2 linked regions of the Anolis sagrei genome follow. The protein of the gene in region 1 purifies or fractionates together with the protein of each later gene. This does not show direct contact. Links are inferred from orthologs where the notes say so. Each region holds a gene or a part of one and is shown in the gene's direction. Other genes may lie near its edges. The genes, in order: LCK and UNC119.

Region 1 (7,962 bases):
TTTGCTTCCGCTGTGTTTGTATTATTTCTGTAGCCATTTGCAAAGGCAGCAAACAGCATGCAATGTTCAATGTATTGTCGAAGGCTTTCATGGCCGGAATCACTGCGTTGTTGTAGGTTTTTTCGGGCTTTATGGCCATGGTCTAGAGGCATTCTCTCCTGACGTTTTGCCTGCCTCCTCAGAGGTAGTGCATGGCAAGCCCCCTCAGAGGTAGTGCATGCAATGTGTCTGTTACTAGGTTGCAAGCTTTTGTTATGTTGTGTTTCCAGAGTCTTTCCAACACTCAGATGGGATAAACGTTGAAAAACAATATGAAAAGGAGAGAGGGAAGTATTTCTGAGTGTCACAAAGACTGGAAACACAACATACAAAAGCTTGAAATCCGCAAGCATGCGGACAATTTCTACAGAAGGGAGGAAACTATTAAAATGAACAAAATATGGGTTGTTGTAGGTTTTTCCGGGCTATATGGCCATGTTCTAGAGGCATTTTCTCCTGACGTTTCGCCTGCATCTATGGCAAGCATCCTCAGAGGTAGTGAGGTCTGTTGGAACTAGGAAAAGGGTTTTTTTATATCTGTGGAATGACCAGGGTTCGACAAAGGACTCTTGTCTGTTGGAGCTAGGTGTGAATGTTTCAACTGACTACCATGATTAGCATTTGATTGCCTGGCAGTGCCTGGAGCAATCTTTTGTTGAGATGTCCTTGTTTGTTTCCTCTCTGTTATTTTGCTGTTATAATTTTAGAGTTTTTTAATACTGGTAGCCAGATTGTGTTCATTTTCATGTTTCCTCCTTTATGTTGAAATTGTCCACATGCTTGTGGATTTCAATGGCGTCTCTGTGTAGTCTGACATGGTGGTTGTTGGAGTGGTCCAATATTTCTGTGTTCTCAAATAATATGCTATGTCCAGGTTGGTTCATCAGGTGCTCTGCTATGTCTGACTTCTCTGGTTGAAGTAGTCTGCAGTGCCTTTCATGTTCCTTGATTCGTGTTTGAGCGCTGCGTTTGGTGGTCCCTATGTAGAGCACAACAACAGAGTGGAAACAAACAAGGACATCTAATCACCTCTCAACAAAAGATTGCCCCAGGAACTGCCAGGCAATCAAATGCTAATCATGGTAGTCAGTTGAAACTTTCACACCTAGCTCCAACAGACAAGAGTCCTTTGTCCCACCCTGGTCATTCCACAGATATAAAAACCCCTTTTTCCTAGTTCCAGCAGAACTCACTACCTCTGAGGATGCTTGCCATAGATGCAGGCGAAACGTCAGGAGAAAATGCCTCTAGAACATGGCCATATAGCTCGAAAAAACCAACAACAACCCAATGATTCCAGCCATGAAAGCCTTCGACAATAGATTGAACAAAATATGGCTACCAGTGTTTAAAAAAAAATCTAAAATCAGGACAGTGAATAAAGAACAACACTCATAAATGGGAATTCCTGACAGGGCCAGCTAACACCTCCGAACAGATTCCCCCAGGTAGGAAGCAGTCTGGCTTTGAAGCTGCAAGGCCATTCAATGCTAATCAAGGTGATCAATTGCAGCATTCACACTTGCCTCAATCAGACAAGAGTTCTTTCTCCCACCCTGGACGTTCCACAGATATATAAATCCCACTTGCCTAGTTTCCAACAGACATCACAACCTCTGAGGATGCCTGCCATAGATGCAGGCGAAACGTTAGGAGAGAATGCTTCTAGAACATGGTCATACACCTCAGAAAACTCACAGCAACCCAATAAATACTGAAATGAAAACAATGTATTGTTCAATTACAAATCTAAAGCATATAAACACTAAAACTAAACCCAGGACTACTAAAAAGAATGAACTAAATTCACGAAAAACCTATTAAAATACGTAACACATGACACAACTCCCCCTGGCTTGGTCTTAACATTAATGTTATAATGTTAATTTTAATTATTTTTCATAATCAGAGAAAGTGACAAAGCCGTGTGCCCTACTATTTCAATTAATTTGCTGCAATATTCTAATTACTGTATAAATGTTGAGTCTCTGAAATGGTTGGGAGCAAAAGTATTTGGGATATTTCCCCCTCAGGTTTAGGGATCTCTACATTTGCATATCCATATAAATATAGATATGTATATATATGAATTGTGATTATCTTGGAGATGGGACATAAGACTAAACATGTCATTCTTTTGTGTTTCATATACATTTTATATGCTATTATAGTCTATAGGTTATTTTATACGCCGTATTTTTAATGATTTTGTGCATGGAGTCAAGTCAGTGTCCTCTGAACCATCAGAAAGCAAAGTTTTTGCATAATAATAAGAACACATTTAATAATAATACATATAATAAATGTAAAAATATAAATATAAATTAATGATTAAGGATTATAATAATGTCATTTGGACAATTTTGAATTTTGGATGAGTTCAGAATTCCAAATAAGGGGTTCAGTGCCTCTAAATATTCATTAAACAGATTACAAAATATTAAGAAGTGAGTCCTTGGTATATAATAATGCAGGCTGTATCATATCAGTGTGTAATGCTATACATTGCAATGGTCACAATTTGGCAAATACCAATTGGAATACTCATCTTATCGCTGAAAAAAAGTCCTAATTTCACCCCATTTTCCCACTTTGTTCCAAACACAGTCCTGGTTTCCCTTATTTTGGGAGTGATTGACCTTGGATCTGAGAGTTGTAGTTCATCCTTATCCAGAGAGCACTGAACCTAGCCGATGTCAGATCTGGACCAAACTTGGCACACAGACCCAACATGGCCCTCTGTGTATACAGGCCTGGTTTGAGGGTGATTGTCCTCTGCATATGGGAGTTGTAGTTCACCTTTATCCAGAGAGCCCTGAACCCAGCCAATGACGGATCTTGACCAAACTTGGCACACAGACCCAACATGGCCAATTGTGAATACTGGCAGGGTTTCGGGATGATTGACCTTGGCACATAGGAGTTGTAGTTCACCCTTCTCCAGAGAGCACTGAAGCCAGCCAAGAAAAAACCCAGCCGTCAAATGCCCTTTTCAAATAACCCGGTCATTGCCAGGTCGCCAAGCGAGTATATTTAGAATGTCAAGGTTTATGAGTTTGTGGCTGAGATTGTGGGTTTCCTCTTGGTCACTGCATTGACATCACTTTAGCCCTCAGATTTGGAGGACAAAATGTGATTGATTTCACTGCTTCTGCAATGTGATGCAAGTTTGCAAATTGTTTCTAAGGCTCCTTTTACACTGCCATATAATCCACTTTATAAATGCAGATAAACCACATCTGCTTTGAACTAGATTATATGAGACCCTTCCTACACTACCATATAAAATCAACATTGGCTCCTTCTAGACTTCCATATAACCCAGTTTATCAAAGCAGATAATCCACATTATTTGCTTTGAAGTGGATTATATGAGTCTACACTGCCATATAATCCAGTTCAAAGCAGACAATCTTGATTTTATATGGCAGTGTAAAAGGGGTCATGATCTGTTTTGAACTGGATTATATGATGCCCCATCTGAACTGCCATATAAAATCCAGATTATCTGCTTTGAACTGGGGCCCCATCTGCACTGCCATGTAAATCTGATCTGCTTTGAACTGGATTGTATTGCAGTGTAGACTTGTATAATCCAATTCAAAGCGGATAATGTGGATGACCTGTTTGATATTTATTTGTTTGTTTGTTTGTTTACTGTATTTGTATACCGCCTTTCTCAGGCAATCGGCGACTCAAGGTGGTTTCCAACAAAACAGTACATATAATATCACAAAACAAGTTAAAACATTAAAACAGTATAAAACAACAATAATAACAACATCATTAGCGTCTCCTTATTATCAAGCATTGTCCAATTCCGTCATCAAGTCATTCAATTTTCTATGTCATTTACTCTGTATTTGTAAACGCTTGCTTGAATAGCCATGTTTTAACTTGCCTCCGAAACATTAGTAGGGAGAGAGCCGATCTGATCTCCCTAGGGAGGGTGTTTCATAGCTGAGGGGCCACCACTGAGAAGGCCCTGTCTCTTATCCCCGCCAGATGTGCTTGTGTCGAAGGCAGGACTGAGAGCAAGGCCTCCCCAGATGACCTCAGGGTCCTTGAAGGTTCATAAGGGGAGATGCTTTTGGACAGGTAAATTGGACCAGAACCATTTAGGGCTTTAAAGGCCAAAGCCAGCACTTTGAATTGGGCCCAGTAGCAAACCGGCAGCCAGTGGAGCTGGCGCAACAAGAGGGCCGCTCCTGTTAGCAACCTGGCTGCCGTTCGTTGGACTAGTTGAAGCTTCTGGACCGTCTTCAAAGGCAACCCCACGTAGAGCACGTTGCAGTAGTCTATACGGGATATAACCAGAGCGTGGACTACTGTGGCCAAGTCAGACTTCCCAAGGTATGGGCACAGCTGGCGCACAAGTTTTAACTGTGCAAATACTCCCCTGGTCACCGCTGAGACCTGAGGTTCCAGGCTCAGCGATGAATCCAGGATCACACCCAAGTGGTCTCTGTTCCTTGGCTCTGATCAGGCCTTTTGGGGAACCTCTTGAAAGTCCTCTTGATTTTCCAATATCGTCTCTTTCTTTTTTGCAGAAGACAAAAGCTTGCGCAGGGAGCTGGGCCTCAGTGTCCCTTGCGTTCCTGTCGTGCACCAGAAGCATGGGCTGCTGCTGCAGTTTGGACTGTGATGAGGGCTGGGAGGAAGGGGACCTGGAGATCTGTCAGACCTGTCACTATCCCATCGACCCAGACACCAAGCCCCAGGTGAGAGGTTTTGCAACTGCACTGGAGAGTTAATGCAGTTTGGTACCACCTGGACTGCGATGGCTCCAGGCTTGGCAGACCCAGCCAGGATGCTATGGCTAATAACACAACGTAACATTATTGTGTTATAAATATAATTTTCTAGTTGGTGCTATCATGAAAACATTATTATTTTTAGTGTTGTTAGCTACTTTGGGTCTCTTTTTAGAGAGAGAAAGCCGGATATATATAGCAAATAAATACAATAATAATAATTAATAATAATGCAATGGAATCCTTAGGGTTGTAGTTTGGGGAGACCCAAGAGATGGCTGGAAGCCTTGCAAATCCAATAATACTAATACTACTTATAGTAGCTACCTACAGACCCACAACGAAAACACTACACTTGGAGGACCATCATCCTCCAGCTACGAGGGATCGTCTAAGTAAGTAAGTATTATTATTAGTATTATTACTAATATTATTAATACTTACTTACTTAGGCGATCCCTTGTAGCTGGAGGATGATGGTCCTCCAAGTGTAGTGTTTTCGTTGTGGGTCTGTAGGTAGCTGCGGAGACCTATTCTTGACCTGCACGTTCTTCCGCAGTGAGGACATCAGTTTCCAGGTGGAAGGCAGTCCTGGTCGCAGTTGGTTTGACCTGCCTTCCTTTTGGCATGTTTCTCCCCTTCTCACTTCATTCATGCTTCTAATTCCTCAGCACTGCTGGTCACAGCTGACCTCCAGTTAGAGCACTCAAAGGCCAGGGCTTCACAGTTCTCGGTGTTTATGCCACAGTTTTTAAGGTTGGCTTTAAGACCATCTTATTTATTTATTTATTTATTTATTTATTTATTTATTTATTAATGCACTTGTATACCGCTAATATCTCAGCCTAAATCGGCGACTCATTGCGGTTTACAACACTTAAAAACAACAATATTCAGATTAAAAGCATAAAACACATATACAGTACACAGTATTGGGCCACCAATACAGACCAACGCATCTCTTAACTAAAATCATAATCCAATTTCGTTGTCTGTGAATTGCCAGTCCTTGATCATGAACTTCATCGCACCGGATTAGCCGAATGCTTGTTCAAACATCCATGTCTTCAGTTTTTTTCGAAATACCATCAGCGAGGAGGCTGATCTTATCTCTATAGGGAGGGCATTCCAAAGCCGCGGGGCCACCACAGAAAAGGCCCTGTCTCTCGTTCCCGCCAGCCGCACCTGTGAAGCAGGTGGGATGGAGAGTAGGGCCTCTCCCGAAGATCTTAGGGTCCTGGTGGGCTGATAGGCCGAGATACGTTCGGATAGATATGTTGGGCCAGAACCGTTTAGGGCTTTAAAGGCCAATGCCAGCACTTTGAATCTTTAAATCTCTTTTCCTGTCTTCCAACATTACATTTTCCATTCTTGAGTTGTGTGTATAGTAACTACTTTGGGAGATGGTGATCGGTCATTCGGACAACGTGGCCAGTCCAGCAGAGTTGATGGCATAGGCTGACACTTGTCCGCCTGTCTTCCCAAGAGATTTGCAGGATTTTTCAGAGGCAACACTGATGGAAGTATGATGTCTGTAGACAATCCAGGTTTCGCAGGCATATAGCAGGGTTGGGAGGACAATGGCTTATAAACAAGCACCTTGGTATCCCTACAGATGTCCCGATCCTCAAACACTCTCTGCTTCATTTGGAAAAATGCTGCACTCGCAGAGCTCAGGTGATGTTGTATTTCAGTGTCAATGTTGACTTTTGTGGTGAGGTGGCTGCCAAGGTAGTGGAAATGGTCAACATTTTCTAATGTTACACCATTAAGCTGTATTTCTGGCATTGCAGAGGGATTGGCTGGTGCCTGCTGAAAGAGCACTTTTGTTTTCTTGATGTTCAATGAGAGGCCGAGCTACTCGTATGCTTCTGCAAAGGTGTTTAGAATGGCTTGTAGGACTTATTCTGAATGTGCACAGACTACGTTATCATCAGCATACTGGAGTTCTATAACAGATGTTTTTGCAATCTTGGTTTTGGTACATTGCAATAATAATGAAATGGAATCCTTGTTGTAGTTTGGGGAGACACAAGAGAAGGCTGAAGACCTTGTAAACCCAATAATAATAATAACAACAATACATTATTCAAGTTTATCAAAGCAGATAATCCGCATAGTCCTAGACACTTGGGAAGTGTCCAACGTGTGATCCAATACAACAATCAGCATAGTGATCTTGTCTGCTGTGTACTAATCTTGTTGTGTTTAAAATAATGATGATGATGATGATGATGATAATAATAATAATAATAATAATAATAATAATATGTAATCCTCAGAGTTGTCATTTGGGGAGGCATAAGAGGAGGCTGAAGACTTTGTAAATCCAACAACAACTGCTACCCACTTATGCTCATGGCTCAAGGCAGAGTATAACGCAGTTGAAATACCTAGATAAAACATAAGATCATTAAAACTTATTATATTAAAAGACACAGAGCAAGGATTAAAAGATATTAAAATCATCATGCCAACTAATACATTTAAAATTCAGTTTAAAATGGGCTTGGTAACCACACTCAGGCAGAGTTTGCCATGCAAAGTGAACATCAGAAAGAAAGAATGATGAAAATGTAGTATAATTGCACACACTTTTCAAGGCGGTAATCTTGCTCTGAGATTCCTCCATCTCAATCTGAGGACCAGAGAAAAAAGAACTGGGATGTAATAACTTCAGCATGAGATCCAGTTTGTTGGAAAACCTGGCCATGAAAGAATATTTGGTGTTTATTTGTTTGTTTGTTTACAGAGGCCGGCTTTGAATGGCTCCGAGTTTTACAACCCTCTTTTGTCTCCCGATGTAATGACACCTCCTCCGAGTTCACCTCTTCAAGGTAAATACAATCACCATCCTTCCTCCTCTTCCATCTTCAGGCAGCTGAATTGTGTGGGGCAGCAGAAATGGAATTGTTATAATTACATATGTGCTTTTCAAGACAATGCCCTTGTGCAGAGATTCCTCCATCTCACTTTAAAGACTAGAGAAGGAAAGAACTAGGATCTGATCCTTTGGACTCTTAAGGCAATACCGAGCAAAAGGGGTCTTAAATCTGCTGATGCCCACATTAATGTGTTCCTTATAATGGCAGTGCTGTATCTGTATTTCCAACACCATCTTGCATATTAAAAAGTGCATCTAGACTGCGGAATTGATGTACTTTGGCAC
Region 2 (8,218 bases), on another chromosome or scaffold:
ATTCATTTCAGCAGAGTTCTCTATTATCCATGGTGTTGTTGATCCATAATACGTCCGCTTTAGGCATTGTGTAGGTCCATCCATGTAACTATACGTTCTCCTTGAGCCGAAAGTCATTCGTTTCAGCAGAGTTCTCTATTATCCATGGTGTTGTTGATCCATAATACGTCCCCTCTAGGCATTGTGTAGGTCCTTCCATGTAACTACGTTCTCCTTGAGCCGAAAGTCATTAGTTTCAGCAGAGTTCTCTATTATCCATGGTGTTGTTGATCCATAATATGTCCGCTTTAGGCATTGTGTAGGTCCTTCCATGTAACTATACGTTCTCCTTGAGCCGAAAGTCATTCGTTTCAGCAGAGTTCTCTATTATCCATGGTGTTGTTGATCCATAATATGTCCCCTCTAGGCATTGTGCAGGTCCTTCCGTGCAACTATATGTTCTCCTTGAGCCGTAAGTCATTTGTTTCAGCAGTTCCCTATTATCCACGGTGTTGTTGATCTATAATACGTCCTCCCCTAGGTTCCAATGGTCTGAAAGAGGTCCTTCCTAGGCCTTTGCTTGGTCCTGTGGTGCCAGGCGGTGGTCTAGTCATTCATTCTGGGTTTCTCCCTGCTTTGATGCAGGTCTACCATGCGGTGGGGTCTGCGGAGGAGGCCCTGCGGGAACTGGAGGCCGGGCGCCTGGAGGCGGCCTTCCTGGCCAGCAAGGCGGCCGTCACATCCTCGGAGCGGGCCTTCTTCCACCCTTCGCTCCTCCACCTCCTCTACTTCCCCGACGACCAGAAGTTTGCCATTTACATCCCGCTCTTCCTCCCTATGGCCGTCCCCATCCTCCTCTCCATGGCCAAGATCCTGCGGGAGAGCCGGGCCACCAAAAAGGAGCCGGGCAAAGTGGACTGAGCGCCAGAGGCCGGCTGGCTGTCCTTTGCACAGCAGCTCCCAGCATCCCCCAATGGACAGGTCGGAAGGAAACAAAATTCTTCCAAAAAGTCACTTCTTTGGTGCCCCAAAAGTCCGTCTCCTGAAAGCAACTTTCCGGCTATCATCACGTCTCCCTCCTTGCATTTTATTTATTTATTCGGGTTGATTTTGCACTTGGGTTTGAAATAAAAGACAATTGGGTGTAAAAGGAAATATATTCACATTTGTGTTGATTCCAAGTATCTAGGACAAGGTTCTTCAAACTAAGGCCCAAGGGCCGAATACGGTCCTCCAAGGTCATTTACCTGGCCCTTGTTCAGGGTCAACCTAAGTCTGAAACAACTTGAAAGCACCCAAAAACAACAACAACAACAGCAATCCTATCTCACCAGCCAAAAGCAAGCCCACACTTCCCATTGATATACTAATAAGTTTATACTTGCTTAAATTGTTCTTCATTTTAATTATTGTATTGTTTTTAAGTGTTTTTTGCACTACAAATAAGGTATGTGTAGTGTGCATTCATTCATGTTTTTTTCAAATGATAATCTGGCCCTCCAACAGTTGGAGGGACTGTGACCTGGCCCTCCGGTTAAAAAGTTTGAGGACACCTGATCTAAGAGGTTGTGTGCATCACCTCCTTCCTCTGCATTTTTGTCCCCTTGTTGAACCTTTGTTTATCTATTATTAGTCGTATTATTGTTGTTGTTATTATTATTATTATTATTATTATTATTATTATTATTTATTAGCATGTCCACAATAACACAGCGCACATTAACTCCAAGTGTCTGGGCTTCATCTCTGAATATCAGACTCTTCCCAAGGGCCTAGAGTATTAGAAATTATTATTGTTTATTATTAGACTGCCTTTTCTAGATGTCTTAGTTATCCGCAAACCAGATCAACAATTGGGTCACACCGTCTACAGAAAACACACACACACAGATAGAGATCTACATCAAAACTCCATCACCCAAGTCAAAAAAGAAGCCCCATTAAAGCCTTGGCAGACCGTGCAAAAATAATCTGGGAAGCCCACCTCCTCCAAGATGAACTGAACCCCCTCAACTGGGCTCTCCAGGCCAATGGATACTCCACCTCAGACATCAGAAGAGCTGCAAGACCAAGAACAAGCCACGAGAGTCAAGATGAAGATCCACCCAGAGGAAAAGTGTTCCTGCCATACATCAAGGGAACCACTGACCGCATTGGGAAGCTGATGAGGAAACACAACATACAAACAATCTACAAACCCACCAAGAAAATCCAACAAATGCTACGTTCAGCAAAGGACAAGAGGGATCCTCTCACCTCTGCAGGAGTCTACCGTATACCATGCAGCTGTGGACAAGTCTACAGAGGGACCACCAAATGCAGCATTGCCCAGACACGCATCAAGGAACACAAAAGGCACTGCAGACTACTTCAACCAGAGAAGTCAGTCATAGTGGAGCACCTGATGAACCAGCCTGGACACAGCATATTATTTGAGAACACAGAAATGCTGGACCACTCCAACAACCACCATGTCAGACTACACAGAGAAGCCATTGAACGCCACAAGCATGTGGACAATTTCAACAGGAAGGAAGAGACCATGAAAATGAACAAAATCTGGCTACCAGTATTAAAAAACTCTAAAATTACAACAGCAAAACAGCAGAGAGGAAACAACCAGGCACATCTTAACACCTCTCAACAAAAGATTTTCCCAGGCTCAGCCAGGCCTTCAAATGCTAATGAAGGTGGTCAGTTGAAACATTCACACCTAGTTCCAGCAGACAAAAGTCCTTTGTCCCACACCAGCCATTCCACAGATATATAAACCCATTGTCCTATTTCCAACAGACCTCACTACCTCTGAGGATGCTTGCCATAGATGCAGGCGAAACATCAGGAGAAATGTTCTCTTGCCTTGCTTGGCACTCTGCACATGCTCAGAGGACATATTCCCAAGCCCCTTCCCTCCTTGCATGTCCAACTTTTCCCAGCCAGGAAGCCCCTCCTCCCTTTTCTGATTCCTCTTGCCTTGCGTGGCACTCTGCTCATGCTCAGAGGACACATTCCCAAGCTCCTCCCCTGTCTGCATGTCTGTCTCTTCCCCCAGCATCCCTTTTCCCAGCCAGGAGGCTCCTCCTTCTTTTTCTCCTTCCTCTTGCCTTGCTTGGCACTCTGCACATGCTCAGGGGACACATTCCCAAGCCCCTCCCCGCCTTGCATGTTCACCTCTCCCCCCAGCATCCCTTTTCCCAGCCAGGAAGCTCCTCCCTCCTTTTCTGATTCCTCTTTCCTTGCTTGGCACTCTGCACATGCTCAGGGGACACATTCCCAAACCCCTCCCCTCCTTGCATGTCCATCTTTTCCCAGCCAGGAAGCCCCTCCCCCCTTTTCTGATGTCTCTTGCTTTGCTTGGCACTCTGCACATGCTCAGAGGACACATTCCCAAGCCCCTTCCCTCCTTGCATGTCCATCTCTTCCCACCCAGGAGGCTCCTCCCTCCATTCTGATTCCTCTTGCTTTGCTTGGCACTCTGCACATGCTCAGAGGAGACATTCCCAAACCCTTCTTTAATAGTTTAAATAAATAAATAAATACATTTCTTGTATGTCCATCTCTCCCCCCAGCATCCCTTTTCCCAGCCAGGAAGCCCCTCCTCCCTTTTCTGATTCCTCTTGCCTTGCTTGGCTCTCTGCACATGCTCAGGGGACACATTCCCAAGCCCCTCCCCTCCTTGCATGTCCACCTCTCCCCCCAGCATCCCTTTTCCCAGCCAGGAGACTCCTCCCTCCATTCTGATGTCTCTTGCTTTGCTTGGCACTCTGCACATACTCAGAGGAGACATTCCCAAGCCCCTCCCCTCCTTGTATGTCCACCTCTCCCCCCAGCACCACTTTTCCCAGCCAGGAAGCTCCTCCCTCCTTTTCTGATTCCTCTGGCCTTGCTTGGCACTCTGCACATGCTCAGAGGACACATTCCCAAGCCCTTTCCCTCCTTGCATGTCCATCTTTTCCCAGCCAGGAAGCCCCTCCTTCCTTTTCTGATTCCTATTGCCTTCTTTGGCACTCTGCACATGCTCAGAGGACACATTCCCAAGCCCCTCTCCTCCTTGCATGTCCATCTTTTCCCACCCAGGAGGCTCCTCCCTCCATTCTGATTTCTCTTGCCTTGCTTGGCACTCAGCACATGCTCAGAGGACACATTCCCAAACCCCTCCCTTCTTTAATGGTTTAAATAAATAAATAAATAAATTTCTTGCATGTCCATCTCTTCCCCCAGCATCCCTTTTCCCAGCCAGGAAGCCCCTCCTCCCTTTTCTGATTCCTCTTGTTTTGCTTGGCACTCTGCACGTGCTCAGGGGACACATTCCCAAGCCCCTCCCCTCCTTGCATTTTCCACCTCTCCCCCCAGCATCCCTTTTCCCAGCTAGGAAGCGCCTCCCTCCTTTTCTGATTCCTCTTGCCTGGCTTGGCACTCTGCACATGCTCAGCATCCCTTTTCCCAGCCAGGAGGGTCCTCCCTCCTTTCTGATTCCTCTGGCCTTGCTTGGCACTCTGCACATGCTCAGAGGACACATTCCCAAGCCCCTCCCCTCCTTGCATGTCCATCTCTTCCCACCCAGGAAGAGCCTGGGTAATAATCCGGCCCTCCAACAGTTGGCACTCCAATGGCACTCTGCACATGCTCAGAGGACATATTCCCAAGCCCCTCCCCTCCTTGCATGTCCAACTTTTCCCAGCCAGGAAGCTCCTCCTTCCTTTTCTGATTCCTCTTGCCTTGCTTGGCACTCTGCACATGCTCAACATCTCTTTTCCCAGCCAGGAGGCTCCTCCCTCCATTCTGATGTCTCTTGCCTTGCTTGGCACTCTGCACATGCTCAGAGGACACATTCCCAAGCCCCTCCCCTACTTGCATGTCCACCTCTCCCCCCAGCATCCCTTTTCCCAGCCAGGAAGCGCCTCCCTCCTTCTCTGATTCCTCTTGCTTTGCTTGGCACTCTGCACATGCTCAGAGGACACCCTCCCTTCTTTCCTTCCCTCCCCCCTGCCTGCTTTGGCTCCTCCCCTTTCCCCGAGGGGCGGGGCGGCGGATTTGCAGCAAAGGCGCTTAAGGGGGGATGAGCCATTCTCTCTCCTCTTCCTCCTCCTCTTCTTCCTTTGCAGATCCGCTCCCTTCTGTGACCCGAAGCAGAAGCGGCATCGTCTCCGGTGGGAAGATGAAGGTGAAGAAGGGGAGCAGCGCTGGCACCGCAGGAGGAGGAGGAATGGGCCCCGGGGGAGCGGCGGCGGCTGCCCCCCCATCTTCGGCCTCCTCCTCCTCCTCTTCCTCGGGGGCCTCTTCCTCGGCCCTTTGCAGCGAGGAGGAGCTCCTCCGCAAGGCCAGCATCAGCCCCGAGGATGTCTTGGGCCTCCCCAAGATCACCTCCGGTAAGGAAGGAAGGAAAGAAGGGTCTCCCTTGAAGCCCATCCTTTTGGGGAGAGGGTCGTCTCATTTTGGGGGGGAAATGTATTAGTTAACACAAAGCAATGGGCTTGGGAAGAAGGTCCCCCCATACCTCTCCATTTGCGCCCTGCAGATAGCAACACTAGGAAGGAAACAAGGCCCTCTTTGGGAGAGAGACAGAGGGGTGAGTTGCAAGTAATGGGGTCCCCTTTGAAGCTTATCCTTTTGGGAAAAGGTTCTTCCCCTTTTGGGGGGAAATATGGGGTACTTTATGAGCAATGGGCTTGGGAAGAGGGTCCCTCCATACCTCTCCATTTGCGCCTTGCAGATATGAACTAGGAAGGAAACAAGGCCCTCTTTGGGAGAGAGACAGAGGGGCGAGTTGCAAATAATGGGGTCCCCTTTGAAGCTTATCCTTTTAGGGAAAGGCTCATCCCCATTTGGGGGGAAAATATGGGGTACTTTGTGAGCAATGGGCTTGAGAAGAGGGTCCCCCCCCCCACCTCTCCATTTGCACCTTGCTGATATCAACAAGGAAGGAAACAAGGCCTTCTTTGGGGGAGAGAGAAAGGAGTGAGTTGCAAATAATGGGGTCCCCCTTGAAGCTCATCCTTTGAGGAAAAGGCTCATCCCCATTTGGGGCGGAAATAAAGGGAAATTTGCAAGCAATAGGCTTGGCAAGAGGGTCCCCCCAAACCTCTCCATTTGCACCTTGCAGATATCAACTAGGAAGCAAACAAGGCCCTCTTTTGGAGAGACAGAGGGGTGAATTGCAAGTAATTGGGTCCCCATTGAAGCTCATCCTTTTAGGAAACGTTTCATCTCCTTTTTGGGGGGAATATATTAGATAATTTCAAGAAATGGGCTTCGGAAGAGGGTCCCCCCAAACCTCTCCATTTGCGCCCTGCAGATATCAACACTAGGAAGGACTCAAGGCCCTCTTTGGGAGAGAGAGAGAGGAGTGAGTTGCAAGTAATGGGGTCCCCTTTGAAGCTCATCCTTTTAGAGAAAGGCTCATCCCCATTTGGGGCGGAAATAAAGGGAAATTTGCAAGCAATAGGCTTGGCAAGAGGGTCCCCCCAAACCTCTCCATTTGCACCCTGCAGATATCAACACTAGGAAGGACTCAAGGCCCTCTTTGGGAGAGAGAGAGAGGAGTGAGTTGCAAGTAATGGGGTCCCCTTTGAAGCTCATCCTTTTAGAGAAAGGCTCATCCCCATTTGGGGCGGAAATAAAGGGAAATTTGCAAGCAATAGGCTTGGCAAGAGGGTCCCCCCAAACCTCTCCATTTGCACCCTGCAGATATCAACACTAGGAAGGAAACAAGACCCTCTTTTGGAGAGACAGAGGGGTGAATTGCAAGTAATGGGGTCCCTGTTGAAGCTCATCCTTTTAGTAAAAGGTTCATGTCCTTTTTGGGGGGAAATATATTAGTTAACTTCAAGAAATAGGCTTGGGAAGAGGGTCCCCCCAAACCTCTCCATTTGCATCCTGCAGATATCAACACTAGAGAGGAAACAGGGCCCTCTTTTGGGGGGGATAAAGGGGTGTATGCAATCAATGAGGTCTTTTGGAGAGAGAGGGGGGGAAATGCAAGTAATGGAATCTCCCTTGAAGCTCATCCTTTTGGGAGCAGGATAGTCTCATTTTGGGAGGGAAAGAAAGAAATTTGCAAGTATTTGGCTTTGGAAGAGCCCCCCCCCCCCCCAAGCTCTACATTTGCGCCCTGCAGATATATCAACACTGGGAAGGAAACAGGACCCTCTTTTGGAGAGAGAGAGGGATGAATGGCAAGTAATGGGGTTCCCTTTGAAGCACATCCTTTTGGTAGCAGGATAGCCTCATTTTGGGGGGGAAATATATTAGATAACTGCAAGCAATGGGCTTCGGAGGAGGGTCCCCCCAAATCTCTCCATTTGTGTTTCAGTTATAACACTAGGAAGGAAATAGGGCCCTCTTCTGGAGAGACAAAGGGGTGGGTTGCAAGTGACAGGGTCCCCTTTGAAGCTCATCCTTTGGGGAAAGGTTCATCTCCTTTGGTGGGGGGGGGGGGGGTAATTGCAAGCAATAGGCTTGGGAAGAGGGTCCCCCCAAACCTCTCAATTTGCCTTGCAATTATCAACACTAGGAAAGAAACAGGGCCCTCTTTTGGGGGGATAAGAGGGTGAAGTGCAAGCACTGGAATGTCCTTTGAAGCTCATCCCTTTGGGAGAAGGATTGAGTCATTTTGAAGGAGAAAAAAGGGGAAATTTGCAAGCAATGGGTTCAGGAAGAGGGTCCTCCCAAACCTTTCCATTTCCACCTGGCAGTTATCAACTCTAGGAAGGAAGGAAGGCCTTCCTTTGGGGGTGGGGGGATAAAGGGATGTATTGCAAGCAAAGGAGTTCACTAAAAGGCCCCCTTTAAACCTCTTCCATTTGGGAGACAGGGCCCCCAAAAACCTCTCCGTTTTGGGAGATATACCTTCTCTTTTGGGGGGAGATCAAGGGGCAGATTGTGTGCTGTGGACTTTAGAGGAAGGGTTCTCTTTCAAGCTGTCCATTAGGAAGAAGTATCCTTTTTCGGGTGGCGAATTGCGTGGAACGGGCTTCACTTGAGGGTACCCTTTAAAGCTCTCCACTTGGGGGAAGGGTCTTATTTTTGGGGGTGTAATGAAGGGGTGAATGCAAATGGGTTTCGTGCAAGGATCACCTCGAAAGCTTTTCCATTTGTGAGAAGGGCCCTCTTTTAGGCTCAGCATTGCATGCCACTGACTTTGGAAAAGGGTCCTCTTAAACATCTCCATTGGGAGAAGGACCTTCTTACTTTGGGGAGAATACAGGGCCAGGATTGAACTCAATGGGGTTCAGACAAG

The links.
Region 2: the proteins of LCK (region 1) and UNC119 purify together in Homo sapiens (affinity purification with western blotting; 3 studies listed by BioGRID and IntAct, with this or other methods). This does not show direct contact. The link is inferred for Anolis sagrei from reciprocal best matches to the Homo sapiens genes LCK and UNC119.

What each region holds. Positions count from the first base shown.
Region 1 is NC_090034.1:83,356,835-83,364,796, reverse strand, and holds the start of LCK (tyrosine-protein kinase Lck), read left to right. Parts: upstream 1-4,595; 5' UTR 4,596-4,655; coding exon 4,656-4,760; intron 4,761-7,545; coding exon 7,546-7,630; intron 7,631-7,962. UniProt on the Homo sapiens protein: Non-receptor tyrosine-protein kinase that plays an essential role in the selection and maturation of developing T-cells in the thymus and in the function of mature T-cells. Plays a key role in T-cell antigen receptor (TCR)-linked signal transduction pathways.
Region 2 is NC_090031.1:31,976,709-31,984,926, forward strand, and holds the start of UNC119 (protein unc-119 homolog A), read left to right. Parts: upstream 1-4,747; 5' UTR 4,748-5,038; coding exon 5,039-5,348; intron 5,349-8,218. Other genes in the region: PIGS (GPI transamidase component PIG-S), read left to right, coding at 625-900. UniProt on the Homo sapiens protein: Involved in synaptic functions in photoreceptor cells, the signal transduction in immune cells as a Src family kinase activator, endosome recycling, the uptake of bacteria and endocytosis, protein trafficking in sensory neurons and as lipid-binding chaperone with specificity for a diverse subset of myristoylated proteins.